Linked DNA regions of Danio rerio. The protein of the gene in region 2 interacts with the protein of the main gene of each other region in a pairwise test. Links are inferred from orthologs where the notes say so. Each region holds a gene or a part of one and is shown on either strand. Other genes may lie near its edges.

Region 1 (10,947 bases), on a different chromosome or scaffold from region 2:
CTGCTTGAGGTTGAAGGTTAATAACCTATATAATTATAAATAAAATTAATTACAGGAAAAAAAGCTAAAGAAAAAAGCTGTCATTTAAAGATCAAATTTAACAAGATCTATTTATAATTGCATGTAGGACTTTTATAATAACATCAATTAAACCATTTTATACATTTACAGTGAAAGTGAACTCATAATAATTGTTAAAAAGGGGACCTTTTTCAAGATTATGTATTTTATTTGTTTTTGCTTTTTTTTCTCAATGCACATGCATTCCGAGGTTTATTCATTTTTTTTTATTAAGTGTTCATTCATTTGTTTTCTTTTCTGCGTAGTCCCTTTATTAATCCTGGGTCGCCAAAGCGGTATGAACCACCAACTTATCCAGCACGTTTTTATGCAGCGGATGCCCTTCCAGCCGCAACCCATCTCCGAGAAATTATTTAGTGTTAATTTAAATTACTCACATTAGGTTGCATTTTTCATTGCTTTTATTGGTGTCAGGTCACATCTGGTAGATTAGTATAGTGTACTGAGCGAGAATGATAACAGATTTTATTCAAACAAATTGATGTAAATTTCACACTCGAGATAAAATCGATTTATCATCCAGCCCTACAGGAACCTGTACAACAAAGCCAGATTCGCTAGCTAGCCAGTTATAACTTATGTTTCAGTTTAGTTTGCACATATTTTGGATTTTACGTGAAAATAAAGGTAGCTCAGCTGCTCCATAATACCACAGTAACAAAGAGTGATTAAAATCGATCTGCTTTCATGTTAACTTAAAACTCAAGATTGGTGTCAACTAAACGAAAACTGGCAACCCACTTATATCCAGTTTCATGGTACAGGTCCCTGGAATAAACTTTAAAACTCCATGATTTTCCAAATATTCCATGAACTGTCTATATTTGTTTGTGTCCCTTACCTTTGTAAATGTAAATTTGTGCACACTTTGAGCGACCCCTCTCTCAGCACTCTTCATGTTGCGGGAGTCTTTAGGTGCTTTGAGAAGCAGATTGTCCTCAGACTGCACATTAACACAACCCTGGAGAGCACAAACAAAACAATAACCAATTCATTGTTAAGCCAGATCCTTCCGTTACCTAGAAAAATAGTTTCACATAAGTGACACATTTCTTTACCTGCTCTTCTCCCCTGTCCTTCTCTGCCTCGGTTAGAGGACGGATCCGTAGAAAAACCTTAAGTTTATCTGATCCATCATCAGTGCTGCCTCTTCTGCTGATATCGCTTTTGATCTGCACAAGCTGTTTGTCAAAAGATAAAAGATCCATTAATATTAGAGCACTCACACCGAATCCAAACAAAGCCTGAGGTGAAGGAATAGCCATTAAACGAGCTGTTTGTGTTGAACAGAACACATCACTTACTGCTGTCCTCAATGAAAAGAATTATTGAGGGAGGGATCTCCTTCTGGCAGTGTAACAATTTGAGACAAGAGTTGGCTAAACAAACAGTATTCATAACCCCGGATATGTATGGCAAGCAGATTTAGCATTAAAACATCATTTATTAAACTATTTATTGCATGGACTTTTGAAAATCTTGATTCCGATTGGCTAAAAGGAGTGCAATAACAAACATTAGTTTGAGTTTGGATGAGTCCGAAATTACCTACAACTCTAGTATGTGCTGTATTTGAATTTACTACACAATTAATTTGACCACAACCATTCAATTTTGCTTATTTATAAAATGGTCTGTTGAAAATCTTGATTCTGATTGGCTGAAAGGAGTGCAATAACAAACGTTAGTTTGTGTTTGGCTGCATTTAAAGTCACCTACTAATCGAGTATGAACTACATTTAAATTTACTACACGACTTTTAGAAAGTATGTTCTAATTCAGGGGTCACCAATCTTGTTCCTAGAGGACTGTGCCCTGCAGGGTTTATGTCCAACTTGCCTCAACACACCTGCCTGGATGTTTCAAGTATACCTAGTAAGACCATGATTAGCTTGTTCAGGTGTGTTTGATTAGGGTTGGAGCTAAAATCTGCAGGAACAAGTTTGGTGATCCCTGTTCTATATAGTATGAATAAGAATGGTATTAATGGAATTCGGTCATTCACCAATTTGTCACGATCACATGACCTACCCTTCCCTTGCATTGCTTCACTTTTATTCTTGAATTCTTTAACATGGCATAAAAGGATAGCATAGCATCCATCAAAAGTACACTTCAGAATCTCACCGGTAGCAGTAGGTCATCTGGATAATTCTCACATATTGTTTTTCTTATACTATAAATTCTAACATACTACTTGGCTCTCAGTGTTTTTAACATACTATATAGAAGGATTGCACGATGTATCGTTTCAGCATCGATATCGCAATGTGATCATTCGCAATGGTCACATAATGGGATTTGCAATGCTGTATTATAATTTATCATTTGCATATGTTTTTGAGCCCTTTGTAGCAATAATAATTACATAATTTATTGAATTAATACATTTTTATTATTAATATATTGTACCTGTATATCGTTAGATGCAGAAAACGATAAAACATTGTTTCAATTGTAACAATTTTTTTATCGTTTTTAGCTATACTTTTGATTTGTTTATTAGATTTTTGGCAGATACCCTCTTCTACATAACAATTCCAATCAATCTAAAATGCTAAATTCTTTCTAAATAGAGCTAGGAAAGTCACCTGGCAAAATTTTGTAAATCACAATATATATAACAGAATAAGCGACGCAGTGGCGCAGTAGGTAGTGCTGTCGCCTTACAGCAAGAAAGTCGCTGGTTCGAGCCTCGGCTGGGTCAGTTTGCGTTTCTGTGTGGAGTTTGCATGTTCTCCCTGCTTTCGCGTGGGTTTCCTCCGGGTGCTCCGGTTTCCCCCACAGTCTAAAGACATGCAGTGAAGGTGAATTGGGTAGGCTAAATAGTCCATAGTGTATGAGTGTGAATGCGTGTGTGTGGATGCTTTTCAGAGATGGGTTGTGGCTGGAAGGGCATCCCCTGCGTAAAAAAAGTGCTGGATAAGTTGGCGGTTTATTCCGCTGTGGCGACCCCGAATTAATAAAGGGATTCAGCCGAAAATAAAATAAATAAATAAAGCAGAATAACAAAATATCACAATGCTAGATTTTTCCAATATCATGCAGTCCTACAATATAGCATGGAAGTATGCGATTTTGGATGCAGCCTTTGTTTATTGCCACATTAGCAACTCATCGCTATCCTTAAACATTAGTTATAACTAGGCATGGGCCGGTAGAAGATTATGACGGTATGATAACCTTGGATAAAAGTATAACAGTTTCACAATAGAGTGCTCACTGCTCTAAAATATATTATTTTTAAATGTCTGAGTAAAAAAACTAAAACTTTTTCCCATTGAACACAATATGTTTTATTTTGAGAAACATTTCTAATATTTTGGAGCAGTAAACATGTCAGGCTAAATAAGTCAAATGTATCATTGACTTCTGTTGTTTTCATTAGTAAAAATAAATAAATAAAAAATGATTTCCTTAGAATTTAAAACGGCATCTTTGTATATTTTTTGTGCTGGAGATACTGTTGTTCTAAAAAAAAAAAAAAAAAAAACATACACATACCTTAGGAACCGTATTACAGAAAAATTTGGTGGTTTTGACTATTACAAACCATGGTATACCTTGAAAACGGTTATCGTCCTATGCCTAGTTATAACCATAGTAACTCAGTGACAGTTGCCAAAGCCTTTGTGTAATATCAAGGACACCAGTATGTGCTTCACCAGGGAGCCAGTGGGGATCAACAAACATTTAAATATGCTCAAATTTTGAGAAAAGGTAGCTAACATGTTACTATGAGCTCAATTACATGCAAAAAGATGATCACTTTCTTTGACCCTGCCCATGACTGCTTCAAAACGGAGACATTTAACGTGTCATAAATGATGAAAATTCTGTCAAATATTGTGCTGCCAAGAACATTACTAGTTTTAACTTGCCTTGGCAAACTTTGGCAAATGAACCTTGGAAATAGTGAGATAACCAATGGCATTCCATGCAGTAAAGGATTTTAAATGCACTTTGTGCTGGGTGTTATTTTTTTGCCTCAATGTAATGCATTTAAAGTCCTTTAACACAAGACAAGCGATTGATCCCTTACGTGTAACATTACACTTGGACAAAAAAATAGCTGCCTTGAGAGCCTAAGTCATCAACTCATTTAATGATCTTATCATAAAGGTACCATAAAGGTATCTACCAAAACTAAACTTACACTGGTTTGAAGAAACTGTGCTACTACTATTATACTAGATCTCCCAAAATTATATTTTATTAAACCTCTTTTAGGCAGCACTTTGTTTTCTATCAAATAAATAGAAAGATATATTGATTTTAATAAATTGGTATGAAATCATGAATCCCCGAATGCAAACCACATATAAATAATAAATAATTTCACAAGACAATAGTACACAGTGGTTTATGAAATTATTAAAATATTTTGAATAGGCTTTATTTTACGAGTACCTGCTCCTATAATAACTAATGATGCTAGTCTCCTATACATTTTCGTTTCATTCTAGTACTTACTTCAAGAGTAAAATAAATAATTTTATTATTATTGGCATTATTAGGCCCACACAGAGTATGCATGTGCAGAAATCTGCAGATCTATTTATTTACTTGTGTGGATATGTAAATATATATGTTCTCAGTTTTTATATTTTATAATTTCTCTCTTTTAGTGTATACACGAGATTTACTTTACCAAACATGTGGTTCTAATTAAATTTGCACTGTAAACGTTATTTAGAAGTTAATTTTTTTCATGCATTTAGTTACTATACTCTCAAAATCATTCAGAATAAAATAGCATATATTGTGCAAAGTTTTACACTAAATTAGCAAAAATGCTTGCAGATTCTGTCTGGTCATAATATGGTAAGTACTTGTTTGTAACAAATTAAAAAGTATATATTATTTAGCAAATATTCGATAAACACTAGTGATACACTAAGTGATACTCTTTTTTTTTTACTATAATACGGATGTTTAAGTCAAACAAACTCAATCATTACTGTATAGCTTACTAACATGTCAAACATTTCTTATACATAAATCCTTCAATTGGCAACTATAATAGACTGCAAGGCAAAATATAAATCTAATCACTAAACACGATTCAGTAACATTAACTGAAATCTTGTTTCCTGTAACAAAAGTTGTATCTTGTCACATCTGGAGTAAGTGCTAATACATAATACAACCAATGCCAGCAAACAAAAAAATGAAATATTAATAGCATTAAAAACGCATATTATTTAGTAACGTTAAGTTAAAAAAATTATTGTTCAAATGGCTTGCCACGTGATGTGTCATGTCATGTGATGAATTAAATCAGTCGACACCTATGCCCGACCCGTGGTTTCAAATGTGAAGACTATTTGACATAACACACGTCTTCTAATGGCTATCATACCTCTTTAGTAGGCGTTAGGGAATCTGCAGCAGGGGTAATGACTGAGATCTCTGGCAGAGGAGACACAAACCGTTGAGACCTCATAAGACCAACAACATCAGCCGCTGTGGACTCAAACACAGCCCCACACTCTTCCTCATCAGACAGAATCCCGCATGGAGACGCCAGAGCCATTATAACAGACCTAGAAATTAATATAGACAGTTCTACATTTAAAAGAAAATTACAATTATTTATAGTCTGGACCTCTGTATATGAAAATTAACGTTACTCATATCGTAAATCTATCGGTTAACGTTAACGTTAAGTGAGCCAGAAATCTGATCATCAGTTCAAACTCGCTATTTTGTTGTTTGTTAATGCAACATTATTTATAGAATTAAAATCATATAATATGCAAGAAACAGCACTTAAAGTTAGACGGAAAAGACTGATCTTTATATAGTTGTTTGCCATGGACGCTAGCAGTTAGCATGCAGTAACTGTTACACATTTGAAAAGATTGATATATCCAATATTCGTACCTTGATTTACGATGTGCTTCCGGAGGGAAAAAAATCCAAATGTGAGTTAAAAGTTGAGCAAATGACTCCGACAGCTAAACTAAATACGTGTCTAAATTATTAGAACATCTAACTTGTTCAGAGTACTGTAACTAAAGCAAACTCATCTGTCCACCTGCATAGCTCACTAACGGAAATCCAACAACAACAAATTCGAACTCAGCCGCCCGTGAGCTCCACCAATCAACGCGCACCACTATGGTTCTGCTACTTTGGATTGGTCAACGTGCTTGTCGCTTCCACGCCCTAAAGGCGTTGACAGTATGCGAATGCGTTTTTCAGTAAATTTATATTCCCAAATTATGTTTAAACCCTTTTCATATGGTTTATTACGTTACTCCTGATGCAAACAAACGGGGCAATTACAATCTACATTTTAAACTTTTTCATATCATTGAGTAATACCACTCGTTTCACATTTATGGCAAAAATCCATGAGCATTTCTCGAAATTTTTTGTATTATAGACATATGCAAAATGTATCGCATACGGACCCTGAGCATGCGTCAAATGCGCCGCCACACCGGAGCAGTGTTGCCAACTATTTTCAATGAAAAGTAGCTAAAGCCTGCCTGAAAAGTAGCTAAATGTTGCCAGATGACTTCAAGCACTAATTTGCATATCATTTATGTCATCACATAGTTTCTGACAAGCTTGAGCCCGTCATGCCTATACTCTCTCTGGTGCTGTGTATTATATTATGTTAAAAGATTAGATCCAGATGCACAATAAATAAGTTCTATTAACATATAACTTTGCGTGATGAGGTCATTGCGAAATCGCAACTCAAAACTACATCTTTATGTAGTATAAAATAATTAATGTTTTGCTCAAATTGACTGGCCATCTCAGCAAAAACATTATTTGAAATATGTTCATATAGATTTGTATGAAAAAAAAAAGTTGACTGTTTGTAAAAGTATTACAAACCCAGGTTTTACACTTTTTGGATAAGAATTTAGTATTTTTAATAACACTGATAATGAACAGTTACGTTCTTTTAAACAATCACAGCTTGTGTACTTACTCTTTTTAACTTGTGAAATTAACAAATTTGTGAAAGTGACAACAATTATAGCACTACTCAAATGTATTGCTTCCTAAATTACCAACAATTATAAATGTTAACAAATATCAATAAATGAACAGTTACGAAAAATAATCTGAGCAATTTACTCTACTAAGTGAAGCCTGCAGCCACTGCTTTTTTGAGTCACAAAGTAGCCAAATGAATGTTAAAAATTGCTAAATTTGTTAATAGGTGCTTTTTGAAAAAAAAAAATGCTATTATGAAAAGTTGCTAAATCTAAACAAAATTGCTAAGTTGGCAACACTGAAGAAGAGCACCCAGAGGAAACCCTCGCAAACATGGGGAGAACATGCAAACTCCACACAGAAATACCAACTGACCCAGCCGAGGCTTGAACCAGCAACTTTTTTTGCTATAAGGCGAACGTACCCACTGCTCCACCACGTTGCCCAATAAGCAAACAATGAAAAAGAAATATAACAATGCTTCATTTCAAAGGAGCGCTACCCTGTACTAAAACGGCAGCTTTATTGACGCCTTCCTTCAAATACACAACAACGGGGAAGGCAACATCTAATGTAAATATCTATGGTTTCGTATAAACAGCACAAATTAGTTTCTCTTTAAGCCATTGTAAATTGTAAAATAAATGTTTTCCTACAAATCAAAGAAAAATAAGAAAACACTCATCTTGTATGTCTATATTTAAAAAAATAAAACTTTTTAAGATAAAAAGTTCATTATTATTATTTTATATAATAAAGGTATTTAATAAAAAAAAAAAATTGTCCATGGAATGGCAAATCCTTTTATTGTTTAAAAAAAGTCAATACATTAAGAGTAGTCTACTCTTCAAATATTTTCTTCTGGTTTGGCTGACATATAATGAAAATTTCTGTGTTTTTTTCTGTGTTATCATCTTGAACCTGGGACCCTAAGCTGTGGAATTTTTTGGCATGTCTCTGTTATTTAACACAAGTGACTCAGCACATTAGCTTGTATGTAAGAGTTGATTAGACTATAAACAGAACCAGTATAAGACAGGCCTATATTTTGAGCAACAACACATAAATTCAAAAAGCAGATATACAATATGTCAGTTAGCAGTTTGCTAAAAAGAAATGCCTGTTATGACGTGCTGCACAAGGGCATTTAATGCTCCAAAGTTTAAGTGTTGCATACCTGTTTATTTTAAATTGTTGTTTTCGAGCAATAATTACAAATGTGACATTACAATTTGCTAAAATTTCATCTAAATGTTGACTGTTTTTGCTCTAAAACAAAGCAGAATAGCATCTCCAAGAACCCTAGCTGTGGTTCCCAACCATTTTTGAGATGCTATAATGTAATAATCTGATTTAATGATTTATGCTAAGCTAAGCTAAGCTAAAATATTTCAGATTAATGGATTCAAAAACTGTTTAACTCTAGTGGTTTCAAACTCCAGAAAAACTGTGTACTTTTACATGGTAATGGAAATTGACCTACTGTTATTAATGTGAACTACAGTATTGTGTACAAATAATGAAATACCTAATTTCAAATGGCTTTTACATTTATGCGTTTAATCTAAGACATTTCGTCATTGCTTTTCTCTGACTTTTCTTTAGAAGGTAAAAAAAAAGAAACAACAAGAAAAAAACTGGGTGCTTAATTACTAAATCTGTGTGTGCAATTTATTCAGCAGTTATTTAGTTATGTAGGCTAAAAATAAATAATGTAAACCTGGAATTCAGCGGTTCATTCCACTGTGGCGACCTCTGATGAATAAAGGGACAAAACAGAAGGAAAATAAATGAATGAATGAACTTGAAATTCACTTAATTGATAAGATTTTGTTTATTGTTTGGCATACAAGTGAATGTTAACAGAAGATACAGACAAGTCAAAACTTATTACTATCTTTACATTTTTGTTTAAAATAAGTTTTATTAAGTTGAATCAGTTCTAATTATTCTACTGTATATAACATGGACAAAGAATCTATTGGACAAAGAGACAAATGTGTGGGACATGTGCATGACTCGAGTCCCAAGTCTGATTGGTGTCTTGGGGGCTCCATAAAAGGAGAGAGTATTAGAAGTCAAACAGGCTCCTGAGAAGCAAAGAAACGCCACTGTGTCAGAGAGAACACAATCACTTTGAAAGAAAAGGAAAAGTATAAAGAAATGAGAGTTTTGGAGTTATTGCTGTGGATGTAGTCTTTAAAGTTATACTGAAGCGAGACACAACAGGTGAGTTTGCTGCACTAAACATCTAATCTCAAAAATGTTCATTGTTAGGCTTTGAAACTACAATAAGATGCACTAACTGTAACTGTAATAATATTTAGATGTTATATTTTATTTCTCTTTCCCAGATCGTTTGTCTTGGGTTGGATCAGTCTGGTGAGTGAGATATTCTGTCCTCGGCTAAACTTAGTCTCGACAATAGTCACTGTCATGGTGGTGTATAATTACAACACAGTGAGCAGATGGTGTGAGAAGTTACTATGTTTAGATTCATATAGAAAACACAGTGCTGCAATAATGTGAATATCTAAAAAAAAAAGTAAAAATCCTTACAAAAAGTAGCCATACATTTTGTTTTGATAGTAACACTTTTGGTGCATTGGCTTATATTTGTATAACCACAGTTTTACTACAATTACCATGGTTAAAATAGGATTAGATTTGCAAAACTATCGTAGCCTGACCACTTATGTTAACCACAAATTAACTAGGTTTTGCAAATCGCATATGGTTCACTTAACCATAATTTTTTACCATGGTATTTGTAGTAAAACTGTGGTTACTAAAATACCTTTGAAGTTTTTTTCTTTTTTAAAATATTGCCCAAATGAAGTTTAACAGAGCAAGGAAATTTTCACAGCATGTCTGATAATATTTTTTCTTCTGGAGAAAGTCTTATTTGTTTTATTTCCACTAGAATAAAAGCAGTTTTGAATTTTTTTAAGTTTTAATTTTTTTAATTATTAGCCCCTTTAAGCTATTTTTTTTTTCGATTTTCTACAGAACAAAACATCGTTATACAATAACTTGCCTAATTACCTTAACCTGCTTAGTTAACCTAATTACGCCTTGTCACTTTAGGCTATATAGAAGTGTTTGAAAAATATCTAGTTAAATATTATTTACTGTCATCATGGCAAAGATAAAATAAATAATTTATTAGAGAAATTAGAATTATGAAAAAAATTCTATCAGTAAAACAGAAATTGGGGAAAAATTAACAGGTGGAGGGGGGGGGGGGGGGGGTGTAATAACTCTGAAAATACAAATTAAACAGGTTATTTTTAATATTAAACAGGACCAGCTTTCTTAAACAGACCACCAACGAATAAAACCAAAACAAAGCTGGAGTGTTTAAAGCTGAGAAGCAATTGATTTGTTTTTATTGATTTATGGGCTGCATAAAATGGACTCATTTAATGGCTCCCAGTTGTTAAATGAACAATTCAAGCATCTAAATAATAATACCAATGGCAATTCTCATTAATATTTTAGTAGTTCATTAAAGCATTAAGCTCATTTAATAGCATCATAATAAAAGTATGGTTAATTTTAGTCGTTACAAGAATGTGCAGAAGAGTCTATTTACAAGCTGTAATGAAGTGTGAACTAAAATGATCCTTTAATAAATATTATGAGCGGCATGGTGGTGCAGTGGGTTGTGCTGTCGCCCTACAAAAAGAAGGTTGCTGGTTCTAGCCTCGGCTGGGTCAGTTGGAATTTCTGTGTGGAGTTTGCATGTTCTTCCCCTGTTTGAGTTCGGTTTCCTCCGGATGCACCGGTTTCCCCCACAAGTCAAAAGACATGTGGTACAGGTGAATAGGGTAGGTTAAATTGTCCATGTGTATGTGTGTGAATGAGACTGTATAGGTGTTTCCCAGTGATGGGTTGCAGCTGGAA
Region 2 (10,963 bases):
CCAACGCTCAACCCCCAACATGGAGGACCAGGACATACACGCATAGTAACACTTTTTGGTTTTGGCCAAATAATGAACAAAGTAATGGGGTTCGACAAACCATTTGTTTATTACCAACAATACGCAAGCCTCTCCTACAAATGAGCACCAGTTTTATGAATGCCCGACTTATAGTTTCTGTGCAGTATTGCCAAAAGTGCCAGGAGTATACATGTTACCATTTACTCCACGTGCAGGGCAAGATGTAACAGACAGAGGGTTAGATGTAACACGCGCTTAAAAAGGCAGATTTTAAACAATTAATTTAAATCTAGTTTACTTTGAATAGCAGCTATATTTACTCAGTACACAGCTTAATTAATTTTGTTATTCTACATAGCAAAGCATGTTTATTTATTTATTGGATAAATACATTTGGATTTATTTGGATTATTAACCATTATTAAAGTGCATTTATTTGCATTATTAAGAAAAAAATGTCTATTAAAAATACTTTCTATTAAAAAACATTTTGTTTTAAAAGTTTTCAATATTACACTCAAAATATATATTTTTTGCTCATTTAGTTGGTGTCCAACAGTGTTTGGCTTAATTGTAACACCCTGTTACAACTAACCCTGCTGTGTTCTGTTGTCCTCAAAACTAGCTAGCAGTCACTGTGTTTTTTACATCTTTTAAAATTGTTCCATCTTTTAGCCTAGAAGATGGTAGTCACAACAATATAAGACTTTACTTGCATACTTTCACAGACTTAAAAAAATAAAAATAATAATGACTATAACAAAAAAAAATACTTTTATGCTCCAAAAATTGTTTCTCCTGTGTTTCTCATCCAAATTTCGCTGAACTTTTTTAATAATTGTCAGTAAGACATCTGCCGACACTGTGGTTAAAACCTCGGAAGCATGCCATGGTCAAATATGAGCAAATACCCTAAAACTCTGTGAAACATTTTACCCCGAGTTACTTTGTGCACCACTCTCCCCTACACTATGGACAATTTAGCTTACCCAATTTACCTCCAGCACATGTCTATGGACTGTGGAGGAAACCGGAGTACCTGGAGGAAACAAACGGAAACACAGGAAGAACATGCAAACTCCACACAGAAATGCCAACTAAACCAGCTGGGGCTCGAACCAGCGACCTTCTTGCCATGTTACTTATCATTTACTTGTAAAAAAAACTGTTTGTTTCTTCTGTTGAACACAAAAGAAGTCATTTTGAAAGACGTTAGAAACCTGTAACCACTGACTACCATGGTATTTGTTTTCCTACAAGGGAAGTCAATGGTTACCGGTTTCTAACATTTGTCCAAATATCTTCTTTTGTGTTTAACAGAAGAAAGAAACTCATTAAGGTTTTAAAAACACTTGAGGGCGAGTAAATTGAGAGTACATTTTTTGTTTTTGGGTGAACTATCCCTTTAATACTTCAGTTTAGTTAAATCTAGTTTGTTAATAAAAAAACAAAACAAATGTACAGCTATGTATTATATACATTTCATTTAGTAATACACCAGAGCTTCATCCATTGGCTACCATGTTAACTCTTCTGGTTTAAGAGGCAAGCTGTATTTAAATAAATGATAAACAGCTTAGGCAGGTTAGGAGCTGGTTTGCTTCAATCACATGTGTGCACACTCACTCATGTACAAACACATGCCTGCACAAGCACACACTATTACCTCTGATAATGATCTGGGACAGGTTTCTATTATTGAAATCCTTATCTAAACCTCTAATTGATCTTAGAGAAAGGTCCAGGCAGGCGACCGGTGGAGTGGGTTTTAGTAGAATGGATAACAATCCATGGAATCTTCATGGTTATTTAAAGACGTCAAGGTGCACAGCATTTCTGCAGAGGTGAAAGCAAACCAAATGTGCACACAGAGATACAAATAGAGAGAATAAAGTACTACTGACTAAGGTTATACAAATTGTCAGGTTTACTAAAGGTGTTCTGGGGGGTTTTAGTGCAATGCTGTTCAGAATCTGAGTAGGACTCCTTTTCAGCCCTGGAGTTTCAAGCCTTAGATCGGCCCACTTCAGTTCACGGCTGACTATATTTAAAAAAAATGTCATTTTCAATTCTGTACTTCACAGTAAACATTTATTTGAACATTTAACACAATGTAATGTTTAACAGTATCAGAATCTATTTTCTGTAAGACTTAGTGCTCATTAATATCCTTGTAATGAAAAAATATAAAATAAATACAAATATGAATTAAACTACATGTATAAAATAAAGATTAAAACCAAATGTATTGAATTTTCTATTGATACTATCATGTCTTTTTTAAGGAAACAGCTGCTTTATAACTTCAAATATTTGTCATAAATATGAGAAAATTAAAGGGTAGGTAAATCTCCAACACTATTCTTTAAAACATCACTATGCCCTTTTCTGCAATATCTGAATATATGTTGTAGGAGCCTATTTGTTTGCATTTAATAACTAATGTTATATAATGCATTTCAGTTTTGAATATTTTTTTTGAACTGTTTGCATTTGAGAACTTAGAATATTTGTGTTATTCAGATGGATTTTCTGTGCATTTAGCATTGAGGATATGTAGCATGTTAAAATTGTGTACAGGCTCTTTAAGAACTGCATCTGTTTATTTTAATTTGTTTATGTATCTCTGAGTGAAGATTAAAAGTCAACATCTGACAAGAAACGGACATCATAGATTTCTTTATTGGACATCATTAGCTTGCAGGCTGCATTCTGCTCATGGGGCTGCGAGAAAATAAATAAAAAGAGGTGAGCTGCGGTAAAATAATGATTAAAAAGATTGAGGCTATGGTCAAAAAAATAAATAAATGAAAAAAGTATGACTGTTCAGAGTGCAGGCAACAGGAGACACTGGCCCTAGTGGCCAAAAAAATGGACCGGCCCACCGGGAATACTCCTGGTCCTCCCGATTAGCCAATGCGGGCCTGATGTTGTTCAATTAGTATGATTTGCATACCTTTATAACATTTAAATAACTTTTTTTTTTTTTAAGTTCTAGATTTTTATTTCATTAATCATTTTTAAATTTATATATATAGCTTTCTCTGTTTAAGCTTAAATGTCAATGTTATGATTTCAGCTTCTTGCCAAGGCAACACGTCAACACTTGGTTTAAGTGGTAGAAGTTATCTAATGTTTGCATTTTATTTCAACTACTTGTTTTGTTTTTAATTTTTAGTTAATAAGCAACACGGTGGCGCAGTGGGTAGAGCCGTCGCCTCACAGCAAGAAGGTCGCTGGTTCGATCCCCGGCTAGGTCAGTTAGCATTCCTATGTTCACGTTCTCCCCATGTTCATGCGGGTTTCCTCCGGGTGCTCCGGTTTCCCTCACAGTCCACAGACATGTGCTGTAGGTGAATTGGGTAAGCTAAATTGTCTGTAGTGTATGTGTGTATGTCTTAGTCCTGGGTTGAGCATTGGGCTAACATCCCACCTCATTATTAAAAAAAAAAAAAAAAAAAAAAAAAAAAAAAAAAAACAGATGTTACGAAACACCAAATATGGTGCAGCTAAATATGAACTTTGCTATAAATGGCCTTGGAAGCAAGTACATATTTTAAGTTACCAATAAAAACAATGTTGTTATGTGGTTGCTAGGTAGTTTCTAATCTTTATCTCAGTCGTCATACCCACAAACGTTTCAGTGGTTTCAAATTTGTGATCTGATTGGTTGAATAGTTGCATGTGTGTGTTGTCTTTAATGGTAACCCTGGAAACAAAACCACTTTGTCAACAACTTTAAAAAGGCAATCTTATCAGGACTATTACATCCTCAAAGTGTGTGATGTTCACATTATAGACTCATTTAAAGCATTTAGCCACTTCTAAACACAGTTGACTTGCTAAAGAAATTCAACTGTGATTATTCTGATTAATAAAAGCAATGCTTGCCTATATCAAATATATTTTAACTTTTTAACAGGAACAAAGATCTGATTCAAAACAGCCCCAAAAATACAAATAAAATCTCAAGAAACCCTAGCCCAACAGCACTAAAAAAAACGATGTTTGCGGCTTTTTCAAACTGCTTATTTAAAATGAGCCGAATCAACACAATTCTTAAAGGTTTTTAGGGACAACTTAATTGTTATATGTTCAATGCACTTAAAATTGTACAAATAATTAAGATAACCTAATCGATTTGTGTTGTCCTTTAATCTGAGGTTTATAGAGTTCAGATTAATAAGGTAGCCGAAATACACGTGATTGATTGGTGAGGTTGCTGAGGTGATTTAAAAATGACAGATTCATCTCTGATCTTAAACATGGTGAAATGAGACAGATCTATCAATAAATGGTGAAACGAGAGTGATCTAAAGGGGAGAACAAAGATCCGATTCAAAAAGCCCCCCAAATACAAATAAAAACTCAAGAAACACTAGCCCAACAGCATTTAAAACATTACGCTTGCTGCTTTCAAACCACTAATTTAAAATGAGTTGATTTAACACAATTCTTAAAGTTTTTTTGGGGCAGCGTAATTGTTTTATGTTCGTTCCACTTAAATTTGTACAAATAATTAAGTTAACCTAATCGATTTGTGTCGGGGCAACATGAAGGTATTGTGTGGAACCCAGCATTTTTTACAGCGAGTGCTGATATAAACTGTTACCTCCCTCATTCTCATCAAGATAAAAGCAGCCCGTCGCATTTCGCAATGTTGAACTGAAACCCCTCATTCAACATTTACACATATCGCTTGCAGAAAGGGAGTTACTTTAGGCCTTAACGCTGCATACTAAGCCTCCTCACACCCAATAACCATCTAACATGCATTTGCTTCCTGCACCAGCTTGACATGCTCATCTTCGGATATGCTGCAACATTTCCTCCTCTAACCCAGTGATGTAATACATACTTCTGCTGAAGGCCACACAGAAGGAGGTCGCGCACATCAAGGGCATTAAAGACCTCTTAATATTCAGAATTCAAACTGAAAGGGCACATTCTACCTGCAGCTCTTTTGGGACATTTGAGCCTGAAAGATCTCACTATGGGTCACTGCTGATCTGCTCTTTTTTTTTTTTTTTGTGGACAATGGTTATGGCTCTGCAGAGCTCCATTGTGCTTTCCATTGACGTCCTGTCTGGCATCAGTAATGAGCAGGATGGATGCCTCTTACATATTCTGCAACCTGTGTGTGCAAACCCACCCACCCACTGTAAAAACTCCATAGCCTGCTTGTCTCTCCATAAAATGCTGGCATTACTGATGCTAATTAGGCTACAAGGACAGCAGGATTTGCCTGCAATGTTTAGATGAAGCACAAGGCAACATTTTAAAATAAACTACACCACCAAGCCATGCAGGAATGATTCATAACGGCCCATGGCCAGGGATGTAACGTAATCATGCACATCTCAAGCACAAAGAATGTAATAAATCAAAAAGGAACAAAAGAACCCAAAGTAAAAGACATAGCAAGCACTGAAGTGAGAAATGCATGCTTATGCACTGATGAAAGTTGCCTTCAGTGGATGAAATAGCATGAATCAGACAAAGCAGAAACGCCCCCCTGCGCATGAACATACAGCAGCCTGTATGCATTGTGTGTGCAGACTGTGATTAATCTGCCATTATCAAACACACGTGAGAGCATTTCAAGTACAATAGATGGAAAAGACCCAGGGATCCTTTTGATCAGACTAGGGATCATCTCATCCTTTAATCTGAGGTTTATATTAGAGTTCAGATTAATAAAGCAGCATATATACACGGGATTGATTAGTGAGGTTGCTGAGGTGATTCAAATATTACGGATTCATCTCAGATCCTACGCACAAGGTGAAATGAGACTGATCTATAAATAAATGGTGAAATGAGAGTGATCTAAAGGAGAATGGCAGCACAAAGAGAACTCACCCACAGCAAACATACAACGATGACAATGACAACGGCTGCAGCAGTCAGCAAACTAACATTGCCATCATCTCTGGAGGAAGAGTTTGATCCTATTTTAGACAGGATCTGGAGATCTTCAGCGTAATCGACGTCAAACTGTCTGCGTTGAAATCCCAGTGTGACGAAGGTTTATCTGGCCGATGAGGATACAAGATCCCGCTTTCCAAATGCTGACAAAGCTATTTTGATTGGCTTTCTTCTCCTTTCCACGTCCTATAAGCACCTCTGCCAACGGGCCTTTGCTATTTTTTGCTTAGCTCTTGGTCCAAAGCCGTCGCCCATGAAATTATTCTGTCCCTTTAAAAACAATACTTCCGGGATTTGCTGAAAAATAACTAGGGGGCGGAACGTTCGAACAGCTGAAGGGCTGTCATTTAAGCGATTGGTCGCTTTCCCTATCAAGAACCAATAACAATTGCCTATTTAGGCTATATTTGAATATATTTGAATAACAGTAATATATTACGGCGAAAGAGACTCCTATTGGTTCCGTGAAACGCAACGACTTTTCAAGCCACGCCCATGTACACGTGCTATTTGTTCCTTTTACTCCGCTGGTGGAGAAACGTACAGGACAAAAATAGGGTTTATAGATCGACGGACTGGTAATATAAATATAATGTTTAGTAATACTTGATGATGTAGACCAATTTAAACAAGTAAATAATAACCCTTTTAAGGACAGTGATTACAGTCCGGAATAAATTACTATTTTAAATTTTTTTATTAGTGTTTAAATCTTAGCAAGGCATTATTTGCGCTTAAAATACAGTGAAACATGTGAAACAACACAAAAAATTATTTTGTTTTAAAATGTAACCCATTCTCGTGATGCATAACTGACCTAGTGCTATATATATATATATATATATATATATATATATATATATATATATATATATATATATATATATATATATATATATATATATATATATATATGTGTGTGTGTGTGTGTGTGTGTGTGTGTGTGTATATATGTGTATATATGTGTATATATGTATATATATATATATATATTTTAAACTTTAAGTCGCAAAAACAAACAAATTCATCATTATTTATTTATCATTATCAACTGAGCACTAACAACAAGCAGAAAATGTTAGAAGCAGTTCAGGAGCAAAGAATATAATATAATATATACAATAATATATATTATTATTATTATTATTATTATTATTATTATTATTATTATTATTATTATTATTATTTAAATCTGTGAAATATATTATAAGCCATATAAATACAATTCTTTAAATATAACTGAAAATACATATAAAGAATTTGAATCCAAATAATATTTTTATAAAAACATTTTATCCTGAATTGTGGAGGACGAAACCTGCAAAAGCAATAAATAGATAAATAAGAAAAAATATAAATAAATGAGTAAATAAATGCATAAATTCCTGCAAAAATAAAACAATAAATAAATAAATATGCAAATTAATAAATCAATAAATAAATGCATATAAAACCCACAAGTTCCTGCATAAATAAATATTATCATTATTTTGTTATTATTATTAACTGAGCACCAACAACAAGCAGCAAACCAGCATGTTAGAAGCAGGTCAGAGAATGATATAATAGAAAGTCAGATATTTACTTTTCCCCTATAATAATAATAATAATAATAATAATAATAATAATAATAATAATAATAATAATAATAATCATTATTATTATTGTTGTTGTTGTTGTTGTTGTTGTTGTTATTTAAATACGCAAATATATAAATAAATGAGTAAATAAATACATCAATTCCTGAATAAATAAATACATAAATCGTTATTAGTGCTGGCAGCAAATAAATAAATACATTTCAGGAATGTTGGGGAATAAGAAAATGCTAAACTAAAAGTTTATTTTTTTCCCCTCATTTTAAACCATTATTCACGTAGTTGCATGTTTACTTTTCTTGGGTCAACATGCTAATAAGAGGCTGTCTGTCAATCACCAGAAGCCAGTGAATAAAATCAAATGGAAAGTTTTTCTAAAAATCAACTGATGATGGCATAAAGACCACTTTCTGATAATTGACAGACAGCCTGAGTCCTAATAGTTCACCTATTTTTGCAATGCAGTTATTCTTATTTGCTTTGGAAAGATTTGTCTTTTTGTGAAAAGGTTTTGTTTGGTTTTGTTAATTACAAGACAAAGCCTTTACATAAAAAGAAAACCTATTTCCCTATTCTTCTTATCTTATTAACAAAATTTTATATGCATAAATGTAAATTTATAAACCAAAAACCTTTTTTAAATAGCATTTCTTTCTGAAATGCAGTATTACTTTGAAACTATTTCTAACTCTTTTACAAAGAAAGGCTTTAAAAACAACTGACATTTGTAAATTATATAATCTTTTTCTTTAATGTGTAATGTCTCTTCTGTTTTTTGGTTTTCTTTTTTTTTCAAATTATTTTAACTTTCTTTATAATGTACTGTGATTTGTATCTTTTCACCTTTCGCATACCACCACCACCACCACCAACAACAACAAGTAGTAGTAATAATAATAATAATAACAATAATAAGAAGAAGAAAAAGAAGAAGAAAAAAAAGAAAGACAGACTGCCTCTCATTAGCATGTTGACCTGAGGAAAAGTAAACAAGCAACTACATGAATAATGGTTTCAATGGGGAAAAAAAACAACCTTTCAGTTTAGCATTTACTTATTCCCCCATCATTCGTGTTATATATTTATTTAAGTAGGAAGTTGTGGATTTTCGATATCATTTATTCATTTCTTTGCATATTTCTTTTTTTATTTATGCAGGAATTTATAGATTTATTTACTTGTTTATTTATATATTTGCGTATTTATTTATTGTTTTATTCATGCATGAAATTATGGATTTATTTACTCATTTATTCATATTTTTGCGTATTTATTGATTCATTTATTTCTTTATTGTTTTTGCTTGTTTCGTCCTTCTAACCAGATCCTTGCACAGGTATTTAGGTGTTGCTCGGGTAAAAGCATTTATTCAAATCAAGTTAACAGAGTGCTTAGTTTCACGGCTACTTGGAAACAAATGTGAATGTAAATATTTTTAAAATGTTTATTACGAAGTAGCATGTGTTAAACGCGAGATGGCGCAATGGCACTACAGAAACATCAGACATAAATCCTTTCGTCAGTTCAACAGGCTGCACACACAGACTGAGACTGTTAAGTTTAGTATAATAAAGGTGCAGCATTTAAATCAGAAATTAAACATTACCAGTCAGCCATTTTTTTCCTTCAAAAATAGCCTAAAACACACGTTAAATATTAATATTTAATATGTTGCAAATAATTATAGGCATACATATCTACAAAAATAGCAGGATTTGTTTGTTTTAAATGAATATGATGATGCAGATGTTGTCAAATATGCAGGTTAAAGAGGGCATTACACACCTGTGCGGATAAAAAACGTTATCCGTCGCATCATCTTGTAGTCCCGCCCACTCTCTCCTTTTGATGAAGTTGATTGGCTCCTGCTTATGTCACTAACGCCATGGGGACGCAGAACACAGTTCTCCTGGCGCGTTGCGAACACAGTCGCTATTTAACTCTAGTCTATTATGATGATGAATTCAACAAACTACGATATTTGTTCGCAACTTAAAATATCCTTTCGAACGGGGAGGAAATAAAGTGCCAGAAGAGGTGATAAAGTCATAAATGTACAGTGTGGACTAAAATCTCAGCAATGTCTCTTCTTTGTGTGCGAGGTAAGTATTTGGGACCTTGAAATATTTACTTTTTATAACATTGTCTTCCCGTTTGTCTGTGTTTACGTGCTTCTGGTTTAAAATGTGCTGTAATTTTAATTGTATGAAAGCGGTTGGAGCAACAGGTAACAGTAACAGGTGTAAGCTATAATAATTACATACACCTGTTCTATACACAAGAACGGGTGTAACTTTCGATGAACACCTAAATGTATCACTGACTCGTATGTGTGTTACTGTGGATCTGAGGCGACTCATCTTCTGTTAATGCGCTTAACGGGTTTTCCCCGCTGTTAAGGCACCGCATATGCTGTGATCACCTGTCTGATTGTCCCACTGTACGCTTTGATTTTGTATGACATCAAGCATTCCCAAAGGATTATTCAGTTTCCTGCAGGATATGACATGATTGTGGGTGTTTCTACTTTAAACTGTGAGCTCTAAAATAAGATATTTGTTGCGAAAAGCTATGTCGACTGGACTGTAATTTGTAGGCTAAATGAAACTCCTAAAGTTGGCGGCTCATTCCTCTGTGGCGACCCCTAATGAATAAAGAGACTAAGCCAAAGGAAAATGAATGAATGAATAATCTCTTAATAGGGCCTGCTATTCCATATCTGTTGTTGACAGAAGATCCAGTCCATGTTCAGTCAGTCATTTTGTAAATTACAGAATTAGAGTAGAACTAACTTTTGCCATTCAGTGAAAAATAATATATACTTGTTGGTGGAAATTAGTTGGATTTTGCTTTTTAGTATCGTTTTTGTTTCCAAAAAACTTTGGAGTGGTTGCAAGATTGATATGGCACTTCCTGTTTCACACAAGTAGTAAATAGTGATGCTCCGATTGATCGGCCAGACATCGTGATCGGCCGATAATCACATTTCATGACTCGATCCGTACTTGCTAATCTGGCCAATCTTATGAACCGATCACAATTGTTTGTTTATGATTAGTTTACACATCAGAACTGATTGTTCTGTGCTTTCAACAGTATTGCAAGTTCATTAAAACCTTGCTGGAAATATAAGAGAAATATAAAAAAAAACATAAAAATGATTTTTAACTTGAATATTTAATAATATAACTTATTGTAATAAACAGTATAGAAATATTTTCTATTAGTAAAGAAGTAATGAGATGATAGATGTGCGTTTTAACTTTTTATGTATAAAATATGTGCTCCAAACTTCCATCATTTGCAATGTTTCCAAATTGCTTTGTCACTCATTTTTGATACCATTTTCTTGAATCTGTTTAATCTATTATTTTCTGTAAAGCTGCTTCTGGCCGTGACATGTCCACACTAAATAG
Region 3 (11,176 bases), on a different chromosome or scaffold from region 2:
GTAGTTTTCAAATGACTGAGCAAGTAGTATATAGTGCTGTCTTGAGCATTTTTAGGATGTGTCACCCAAATCTGACTTTTTTTGCAGTGGAGTAAACTTTCAACGATGAAAACATGACAAAGCCAATTGACTATCTTGTTCATAAACAATGTTGTCGGGACTTTTTATCTTGATGACTCTGACACTTTGATTGACATGAATACTTGCTTTTGAGGAATGAACTATGCATGTTAAGCAAGTGACGTGCTTTTGCAGGTTATCAACTAGGTTTTGCAGTTTGTACAAATTGTACTCATTTGAGAAATACATTTACTGTTGTGCAAATGTAAATAATTTTTGCACCAAAAGCACCAAAGCGACAGAAAAACTGTAATACTCACATTAAAAATGTCAGCGTGATGATTTTTTAAGGGGTCATTTTCAAAAACATTTTACTTTAATAAAAGTTGTTGAATTCAAAACTGGAAATATTCAAATTCAGTTTGTGAATTATTTATTAAATGTGTATTATTTATCACAGCTTTTGTACAAGATTTTCATTAAGTTTTTTATTCTGTTTTTGACAGCAGCATGACAATTGTGGAAATAACCACAAATCTCAAATGTAAATCAAGCACTTTAAAGACCTGTGTTGGTACTTTCCAGGCTTGAATCCATATGTCTGAATTCAAATACTTTCAAGAAGCGTAAGACTGGGAACCCTGTGTTTAACTCCTAAAATAATCCATATTTTAACTAATTATATCAGTCAATGAGCCAATCACCCATTCATGAAAACAGTTTGATTGATTTCCAAATGAATCAGCAGTTTTAAATGAATTGATTCAGTCATTAAAATTGAAACCTGCTGCCACCTACTTGTGGTTTTAGTGCTATAGATTTGAGGTCTGCATACAGCCGCGGGACCCGACCAGATTTCTTGTGGCGCGGGAATAAATTTCCAAATAAAGCGAGGGAGCGGTCGGTAACAGGTGTAACTTTGGACGGGAGCGAGCGGTCTAATAATATCGCTTCCGACTCCCGAGCAAGCCAGCACGTATATGTATATGTGTGAATGAGACAGCGTGATGCTGTGTTTAGCTTGATTGTTGCTGTCTATGTGTGTGCGAATGAGAGAGAGCTTTGTGCTGTCTGTGTGTGTGTGTGTGTGTGTGAATGAGAGAGGGCGTAATGCTGTCTGTGTGTGTCACTTGCTTGGTGCTTATGTGTGTGTGTGTGTGTGTGTTTGTACAGACATGCGTGGCGGGTAGAAAACGCGGTGGGTCGGGCAGCGGGACAACAAATGCTGAATATAAGCGGGAGCGGTCGGGTTCGAGCTAAAACCTGACAGGAGCGGGATTCAAAACTTAGTCCCGCGAAGATCTCCACTACAGATTTTATCCATGACAGAACAAAATCATCCAAGAGCAGTACAAAAACCCACTTAGGAAATATTGTTTAATTATTACTATTGTAAAAAAAAAAGTCAAGATATGATTTTGGGAGATTTTTTTGATGTGGTACATCCTATTTTTAAAACTCTTACGTGGAATAGTGAGGAGGTGATTATTTTCCTTTTCTCTATGCAATGACATGAGCCAATCATTACAGTGGATGTTTATTTACAAGACTATTTACAAGTCATGCCATTTAACTTTGAGCTTTTTGTTTTAAGAATGAGACCAAAAATGATCAAAATAATAACAAATAAAATATATAAAAAAGCCTCATTATCCTCATTTTTAGTGACACAAGCCATGTCTACAAGCTCGACACATCAGATTGAATGCAGATATACCTCAGCATCTCTCTTCTCCTGCTGCAGCTGCTGGAACTGTTGGTGCTGTTGGGCCGCTTTACTAATATACGAGTCCTCCAGGTCTTGAACTTTGACCTTGACCCCGTCCAGGATGTTCTCCAGTTCAGCGGCCCTCTGAGACTGACGGGCGGCTCGCGTCTGATGCTGCTGCACTTCCTCTCTGGAAATAAACAAACATACATTTTAGAGTACTGTTTTTTGCACTTGTCTTTCTGCTGTGTTGTGGAATGAGCAGGAGCTGGTCTGTGCTGTCAGATGATCTCATATCCCTCCACTCATCCTGCATTATATCACCTTACAGCAGGTGGTCGGCACTACTGACACTTGCATTATTGAGCATGTGTTTGACAGGAGCAGCGTGTCCAGGAGTGTCCCTAGAGGAATGACAAGTGCTGAACAACTCAAATATTCAAGAGCCATTTGATTATTTATGATGAAATTCCAACAAACATAAAACATGCATAAGTAACACTCAGCCTACAGGTCACAATGCAGAGAAAGACATTAAATTTGGGAGAATGTGTTATTTGGTTTTATTGATACAGACAATAATAATGAGAAAGCCATCTATTTGATCAATCTTTTACTTTTACTTGCTACATATTACATCCATAAATGCAAACTCTCCAATAATAAACCGCTTTTAAAGGTATGAATTATTTACACTTATTTATCTATATACACACACGCATATGGATGAATGGAAGGATAGATATCTTATGTTTTTTGTTATATTTTAGTATTATTTCTTTAATATTGTACTTTTTATTTATTTTTTCTTTACTGCTTTATCCTCCTGGCTTCCACTATGTTTGTTCTATATTTCACAATGTCTCACTATAATGTAACTATATGTATTAAATTATAGTACTATAAGTAGAATTATATATGTCCATACATTGTTTAATAAAAAATATATAATAAAATAAGGTAAGACAATAAACATTTGAATTATGATGGTTCTCACACCATTAAGTTTTTTTTTTAATAAGTAATCTGAAATTTTTGAGCTAAAATAAACATTTCAAGGTGACAATTAAAGCCAACTTTCATCCAAAAATGTCATTATTACAATTTAATAATAAATGTTTTTAGAACATTATCCATTTTTATATTAACACTAAAATAAAATTATAAACAATTTTTAGCATTTGTTTTTGCATTTTTTTCATAATAGTAACAATGCATCATGTTTCCAAATATATGTCTTTGCTAAATAAAACATAGTAATACACATACAATCATAGTGTACAAAATAATTTAACTTTTTAGATTTCAAATGTTAAAATATTTAACCCTAATGGATAAAAACTTTATTGTTTTTCATTAATCATTAAGTCAACTTTTACATTTACAAAAATTACATTATGTAATTATGCATCAACTATTTTTTAATTTATTGTTTGTGTGTACACAAACACACACACACACACACACACACACACACACACACACACACACACACACACACACACACACACCTTCATTTAGACAATAACGAAAATATAATTGTCAGATTTATTGACAATTATATTTATCAATACAATAAAAACAGTAATATTATAACAAAATAATGTGACTTTCACTTTTGTATTACAGTAATATAGTAACAAGAACTAAAGGAAATATTGATTTGTCATAATCTAAAATGTTATAAATCATTCTGTAAAACATTCTATTTTGGTGACAAAAATAAGATATTTGTATACAAGTAGTAAATACACACACACACACATATACTGATATTTGAATTTTTTTTTCTTAAAAAAACTATATTTATTACAAATAATTATAAAATTATTTCGAATTTATTTAACTTTTAAAACATATTTGGCCTCTAAGCAACACTAAAGGCATGTTACACTAATAATGAAAGCTAGACTCACTTTAACTGGCTGTTGGACTGAATGAGCTCTTGAATTAAACCTTGTCTCCTTTCAGAATCCGATAGCATCGTCTTCAACATCAAGCGGACATCAGAGGCAGACTTTCGCTCCAACAAAACCAACTCTACAAACACAAAACAAGTATCACCATTAGTTCTTTTTTTCAGTTATTGTCAATGACTAATATCTAAACTACTATAATTCTTATTGTATACTTGAAAGATATAATATTTGCGAACAGTTAAAAAAATAAAATAAATATAAAAAATAAACGCAAAAATTAGGACTAAAATCATATTAGAAATGTGTTAATAAATTTAATCCCATAATTTAACTTCAAACTTTAATAATCCAATAATTACATTTTTTTCATAGTTGCAGCAACAAATTATTAAAATGAGATAACCTGCAAGGTTCTTGTTTTCCTTTGGATCTGCAAAGCTGACAGGTTTAAACCCGTGATGCTGCAGCAACCTGTTTACAGCGTCCCATTCTCTCTGTTCTTCCTGCAAAAGCATGACATATGCAGCGTGCATTAACAACAATAATAAACTAATGCATGGAGAAACAACTGTAAAACTATCAGAATCTCCACTTTTGTGCTACCTGAAACTGGCTGTAGGTCCACAAAAACACATATGTTTTGTCCCTGGATTGCAAAGCTTGTCTATCCATGCTCGTCAGTGAAAATCACAAATGAATGATGAGCTATTGCACTATTTTAAGCATCTACTTGTATCTTCTACTTTTTGTCTGACTTGATCAGGGTCTGTCCACCCACAGCAGATGGAGGGAACAGACCCAGATCAGATTACTATCCCAAAGAACAATAAGAAACACCTCCACACGCTGGAAAGACAAAAGGGCTCACCTGCTCCATCCCGATCAGAAGCCCTGTAAGAGAAAACACATAGATGCTGAGTTTGCACTTTATTGAAATTGCACTTTACCATTTTAAAAGGACACTATATACTGTATAAATCCAATTTAACAATGTTTATATACTGTCCAACCTATATCATAACTGTCCTAATTTAAACTGTAATGTAGTAATATATTATAACTGAAACAATAATTATTGTGAAAAGCGATACACAGATAAACTTGAATTGAACCGAATTAATGTTTTTTTTTTTTTTTTTTTTTTTCCACTTTCGCCAATTGGTGCAGTTTTTTTTCCTCGCCGCTGACGCCACTAGCTTGCATGGTTTGGGATCTGTAGACCTGCGCATCGATGGATTGCTCTTCAGTGTTTGGACTAAGTAGTGATTATTAAAACACTGATCTGAGCTAAACTGAACTGAACTTAAACTTTGAAAACTGAAATACACCATTTCAATTTGCTATGATCTTTTATGTGAAGCTGTTTTGACACAATCCACATTGTAAAAGTGCTATTCAAATAAAGGTCACTTGAATTGAACTTAATAAAATGACATGTCATTGGCAGATTTTTATTTTTAAATGGAGATTTTTGTAAAACAGAAATAAAAAATGCATTTGAAGTGAACTGAAATTTGCTAGCAAGAATACTTTAGTTAGGTAGCATACTATTTATGTAATGTTTGTGACTTCCGAGCAAGGTATTGCGTGCTTATACCATCAAATACCTTTTTTGGTAGGAGTTTTGTATGTTGTTTAAGATTTTACAATAAGAAAAACTATGTGAATATATCTACTTTGACGATTCATCTGTAATTGAATGTAACACTTGCTATTTTGTGAGGTTTACGTGCATTTTCTGAATGAAAACATAAAACAGGGCAACGTTGTAAAACATACGTACACAATCTTTGTTTACTGTATAACTCTATAGATCTACGTCGACGTTTCATGTTTAATATAACTTGCTATTTTGCGAGATTTACACGCATTTTCTGAGTGAAAACATGGGCTAAGTTGTAAAACGTGTACACAATCTTTGGCTTATAACTCGATCTATAACTCACAATACTACCATGTTCACCAAGATAAAAACCCTAGTATAACATTCTTAGAAGTTAATATAATTTTAGGGGCCACAAAGTTAGCGAAACATTAATAAAAGGGGCTAAAACGTGACAGCACACGGTAGATACAACATACAAACACTGAAAACGCTACATGAAAAATAAGGTCTACAAACGCGGCTAATACATTTCGTTTACGTTAAGTGTTTTGAGCAGTATTATTCTAAATCATACCTTAAACCACAGACGAGCTAAATTGTAGCAATTAAATCTTCAATTTATCGTTTTATAAACAAGAAAACTCGAGTGTGTTTATTGATTCAAATAACAGCGGAAACTGACACCGACGAAGTGCTTCCTGGATTTAGACCAATGGGAGAACTGAATGAGCTAGCCACGCCTACAACGTAGTTTGCGCCACTGTACTGACGTTTCCCTCTTAAGAAAAAGTGGTGTTACAACAAATGTCCACCAGATGGATGCAAAGAATTAACTTTTGAATATGGGCTCCCTACCAGACTCTTATTATGTAAATACATTGTAAAATATTTATTATGAACAGTTGGCATTTTTAGTGCAACTAAATGTAATTACATATTAAAATGTACATAACTGGCAAACAAGACTTCAGCAGATATGTTCCACAATCTTTCAAAACATCCTTTCAGGTTAGTCATTTTGAACAGACAGCATTTACTAAGCCTCTAATCTCACTTCACAGATACTGCTCTTCAAAATTTACGGATTCTGTGGCATTTTGTGTTGCTCTTTTTGCTGCATGCTGTGTAAAGGGCAGCTCTCCGTATGAAGGTCAGCATGCAAATCTCAGCACCGTCTGCAAATAGAGAAAGAGAGAGAGAGACAGAACTTTTGGGAATCTTTTTGTTTAAACAGTTTGTGTCTGTAAAGCCAGTTTTCCTCACCCAGGTTTCCAGAAGCTGTATATGAGCAAATGGTGAGAAAACATCAACAGAACTTCCAAGCAGGTTTTATCACCAATATAGGTAAATATATAATTACTATTATATTATATAGGAAAATTACTGGACCAATGTTTCAATATGTTGCGTGTCAGTCTTGAAAATAAAAATAGGTGCTGGAAAAAGTGCTTAAAAGTCCTTGATTTTCATTAAGCGCCTGTATGAACCCTGTCATATGTACTTGCAACATATATTTCATAAGTGTATGAATGTGACAATGACATATAGCCTATATTTATGAGGTCCAAGCAACAATTTCCATGTTTTGATGAATAGGCTACTATGTTAATACTTTAGATTTAAGTAAAACTTTTTTTTTTTTTTTTTTTTTTAACCTGCAAGCACAGTTAATGTTCACACTATTTATAATGTTTAAATTGGCTGACAATTATACATATTCATAATAATAGGAAATAATCTGCCTCGTTTTTTAACTGTGCACAGCTGTAGCTGCTTAATTAGGCCCACAACACAACTATATTTTAATACTGGTCATTATGTTGGTACTTGGAGAGGAAAAACATTTATGAGGTGGTACTTGGTGAAAAAAGTTTGGGAACCACTGCTATAGATGAATTACCATGTTTGTAAACATTCAGGATGCACGCGCAGGAGGTTGCAGAAAATAAAAAATCCACAGCGTTAACATTTAAATCAAACAGAGTTTGTTGTTGTATTAGAGATATATATATAATATATAATGTTGTTGTATTAGAGATACATATAATATATATGTCTTAGATATATATATATATATATATATATATATAATAGAAATTACAGTATTAAAACAGCTTGTCACCCAGTAATAAGCGCAGTTATTAAGCAAAATTAACGTTAAATTGAGCAGCGTTCTTCTGACAGCTCTATTTGCGATAGCACCCTCCCAATGGATATTGGATAAGACGAAATGGCCAAGCATCCAGCCCCAAATATACAATCTCATTGAAACTCAAATAGATTTTACAAAAGAGAAGTTAAAGGTCTACAAGTCTTTGGATGCCAACAATTCTGTTCTGTGTGGTCATATGCAAGAAATAATGCTCCACGATGACCAGATTCAATACTATGTAGAGCTAAAAACCGAAGTTCTGCCTAGCCAACGACAAGGAAAGAAGACGAAACTGTGCTAGGCCTGGGTAATCATCAAAAAGTAAAACAACTGCATTCTGACGGCGAACAGTATCTGTAAGGCAGGGTATGTGAACTTACATTCTTACATTTCATTCTTAGCATTCAGTGTCAGCAGTTTAATTCACCATATGTAACTGTTTTTCCTGAAATCATTTCCGCAATCAAAAACGAGTAATGTGTATGATTCAGCATAGCGTGAACTTACCTGATATGAAATGGGAACTGCAGAGTCCAGCATTTTTAATTAGGTCCTCACTTCATTCAACTCCCTTTAAGCCAAAAACATCTGCGGTTGGCATTAAAGCAGTGTGGTGTATGGTAAAAGCTAAGTTTTTTTATTTTTCGAATTTGGCATCCTACCGCACAACACGACATGTTTGCTTTTGCAACCGGGAACCCATGTGACGTCTTTCGTGACGTAGGTTGGTAGGCGAAAATGAACTTTTCTGAGGTAATGAAATAGGCTGTGTCTTGTATAATGTCAAAATTACCTTGGTAACTAAAATATAGTCAAAAGCCTCAGTTAGCCTTAACGTTACCACCTTTAAAAAATGTGACATGACCTGATAATTTGCTTGTTCCAGACTGCTGTCTAATAAGAAGTCTAGACATGTCACAAGGAGCTGGATGCTTGTAGAAGTTGTGAAATATATTAAAGATACACCTAACTGTTCAGTTCTGGTATGCAGAGAAGGGTTGCAGAAAAGAGGAAGTATGTCTGGGTGCAACACTCAAAGAACTGCATAATGACTGATAAGTGAGGTTACAGCAAAACTCCAACTGTTAATATCAGTTGTGCAGTGGTGGGAGTAACGAATTACAACTACTCACGTTACTGTAATTAAGTACATTTTTGGGGTAATTGTACTTTCATGAGTAAAATTTTAAGCCTGTAATTTTACTTGTACTTGAGTACAAATTAAGCTGAGTAATCTACTTCGTTACTTTCAAAATCACAATTCGTTACAGAGTACTGTAAATAAATTAATATTTCAACCACGCACTTACTAGCATTTCGGTAGCCAATAAAAAAAGCTCATCTTAACGGACCAATGAAAAGCCTGGTACATTATTTGAACCGAAAAACAAGTTCAGGCTACTGCAGATTTACGTGAGCTGACCGTCATCAAACAGTCATAAAGTTATCGATTGTCATATGGAGATTTAAGACAGAAGAAATGAGGAAGAAATAGCAGAGGATGAATGCCCATGGCCACACCCGGAGGAGCTGTTCACCTAGAGGTACATGGGGAAGAAAGGGGACAGCTGTGCTGATGCAGAGTGGATAGCTGTTATCATCTAAATATGCTAATTAAATGTATGCCCAAAACTAGAATATCGCATAAAAGACTGCAAATAAAGCAGCGTTTCTGTCCAACAAGTCGAAGAGAACAAAATCGCCACTTTCTGATTAACTGGCGACAAATATCAAAAGTAAAAACTTTGCATCGGTAGGAGCAGCTGCGGGAATATATCTTAATTTAATAAATGACTTGCGCCTCAGAAGGCAATCCTGACCCGCAGTGAACGCGCGCTGGTGTTTGAAGGAGCGAGACACGGAGTGCAGACACTCTTGACAATTCTGGAGGTCATTAATAACATAATACTGAAATGGTTGAGACGGTTTTGAATGACCAAAACAACATGTTTTACAATGTGCTTAGCCTGATGGTTTGTCCATTCACACACATTTTCAAAAAATGTGCGCATTACAGCGTTTCCATCAACCTTTTGTATGTGCATATCCAAAATGCGCATAAAATAATTGGATGAAACCTGCCCTCTGCTGTGCCATCTGGCTTACACAGGGTTCCCGGGGGGGTCTTAAAAGGTCTAAAATATAAACATCTTAATTGTAGGCCTTAAAAAGTTTTAAATTTGCTGTTCTATGTCTTAAATATGTTTGCACAGGTCTTATTTTTCCGATGTACATGTAACGCTACTCCTAATGCTCATTTAAATAATTTTTTGTTGTTGCTTGGTTTCGTAGCGGTGTAGTTCTTTATTTCACTAGTCATATTGTAATTTGCTGTATTACAACTATAAATAAGACCAGCATGTAATAGCTCAGCGCGCGCGGCGAATGTGACGTCATCGCCGTGTTTGCAGAGATTCACTTTGGATGCACACGACATGATTTCGGGTGAACAGTTCGCGCGGCGCCGCGTTTGATTTGAGTTGAATATGAAACAATGAAGAGATTTTGTCTGTAACAGTACGACTGTACATACATCTTAACGATCCGACCATGCGTGAGCACCATAGAAATACCTAGATGACCAATAATTCTTGGCTAGAAATTGCAAAAGCCAAAGGACATGTTTTGATAAAAAGTTTGGAAAAACCTGGGGAATAAGTTTGTTACAACAAAAAAGAAGCCATGGCAAAAGTGGAGACCCAGATGGTTTTAATATTACAGAAAATGTTTTTCCACCATTTATAGGTTTTACACTGATATATATTTTTTAAAGTTAAAACAATGTAACAAAAATTAAGTAACAAATGATGTCTTTGATAACTGGAAAAGAAAATATGAACCTATCGGCTTACAGTATACTGATGCCCAATTTCTAGGCTTTAATGATGATGATGATGGACAGGATTGTTGGACCATTATTGCCTTTTCAGCTCATAAGTAGAGGACAGAAACTAGCCAGACAATGTGTCAAATGTTGAGGGGGCAAAATAATTAAAAGTTTTAATTATTTTTTTCTATTATTCTTGAAAGAATAAAAAACTATAATTGTAATGTAACCCATGTTCTGTTGTCATTGATATTTAACTTTAATAGGTAGAACTGTCCAAGATGTGAACAAAAGTGAGTGATGCATCAAAGTTTGATTTAAAAAATCTTGAATAGTTATAAAACTTTATAATTATTCATTAATATTTTTTTTGGCTTAGTTCCTTTATTAATCAGGGGTCGCCACAGCGGAATGAACCGCCAATCTATCCAGCATATTTTACACAGCGGATGCCCTTCCAGCTGCAACCCATTCTCATTTACAACAGCAGACAATTTAGCTTACCTAATTCACCTAAAATGCACGTGTTTAGACTGTGGGGAAAACCAGAGCATCTTGAGCAAACCCACTCAAACACTCGGAGAACATGCAAACTCCACACAGAAATGCCAACTGACCCAGCCGAGGCTCGAACAGCGACCTTTTTGCCTTGAGTCGAGAGCGCTACCCACTGCGCCACCCCGTCACCCAACTTTGTAATCATAATAAATTATAAAAATAATAAAAAATCATTCTTTTTAAAATCTTTAACAATATTAATGATATGACGTAGTTTCGGTCTGACTTTACGGTGGGATCCTTTTGACTGGCCCCTGATGTTTTAAAGAATATCATAACGACAAACACGTCAAGTATTAAAGCCTCGTCCATTTCGTGAGGTGCGCGTCAGCGGAGGTGTGCAATA

Evidence for each region.
Region 1: the proteins of atosb (region 2) and kif20a interact in binary tests that used the Homo sapiens proteins (3 or more experiments, as listed by UniProt). The two-hybrid records come from large-scale screens. The link is inferred for Danio rerio from reciprocal best matches to the Homo sapiens genes ATOSB and KIF20A.
Region 3: the proteins of atosb (region 2) and cep70 interact in binary tests that used the Homo sapiens proteins (3 or more experiments, as listed by UniProt). The link is inferred for Danio rerio from reciprocal best matches to the Homo sapiens genes ATOSB and CEP70.

Annotation. Positions count from the first base shown.
Region 1 is NC_133196.1:38,629,017-38,639,963, forward strand, and holds the start of kif20a (kinesin-like protein KIF20A), read right to left. Parts: upstream 6,136-10,947; 5' UTR 5,968-6,135; intron 5,628-5,967; 5' UTR 5,618-5,627; coding exon of another isoform or gene 5,444-5,617; intron 1,263-5,443; coding exon of another isoform or gene 1,140-1,262; intron 1,043-1,139; coding exon of another isoform or gene 923-1,042; 5' UTR 765-922; intron 1-764. UniProt on the Homo sapiens protein: Mitotic kinesin required for chromosome passenger complex (CPC)-mediated cytokinesis. Following phosphorylation by PLK1, involved in recruitment of PLK1 to the central spindle. Interacts with guanosine triphosphate (GTP)-bound forms of RAB6A and RAB6B.
Region 2 is NC_133180.1:19,785,315-19,796,277, forward strand, and holds the start of atosb (atos homolog protein B), read right to left. Parts: upstream 6,223-10,963; 5' UTR 5,884-6,222; intron 1-5,883. Other genes in the region: uncharacterized protein unc13ba, read left to right, coding at 9,628-9,649. UniProt on the Homo sapiens protein: Transcription regulator that may syncronize transcriptional and translational programs.
Region 3 is NC_133197.1:12,312,191-12,323,366, forward strand, and holds the start of cep70 (centrosomal protein of 70 kDa), read right to left. Parts: upstream 5,973-11,176; 5' UTR 5,868-5,972; intron 4,579-5,867; 5' UTR 4,565-4,578; coding exon of another isoform or gene 4,556-4,564; 5' UTR 4,360-4,555; coding exon 4,291-4,359; intron 4,191-4,290; coding exon 4,091-4,190; intron 3,809-4,090; coding exon 3,685-3,808; intron 2,173-3,684; exon of another isoform or gene 1,959-2,172; coding exon 1,778-1,958; intron 1-1,777.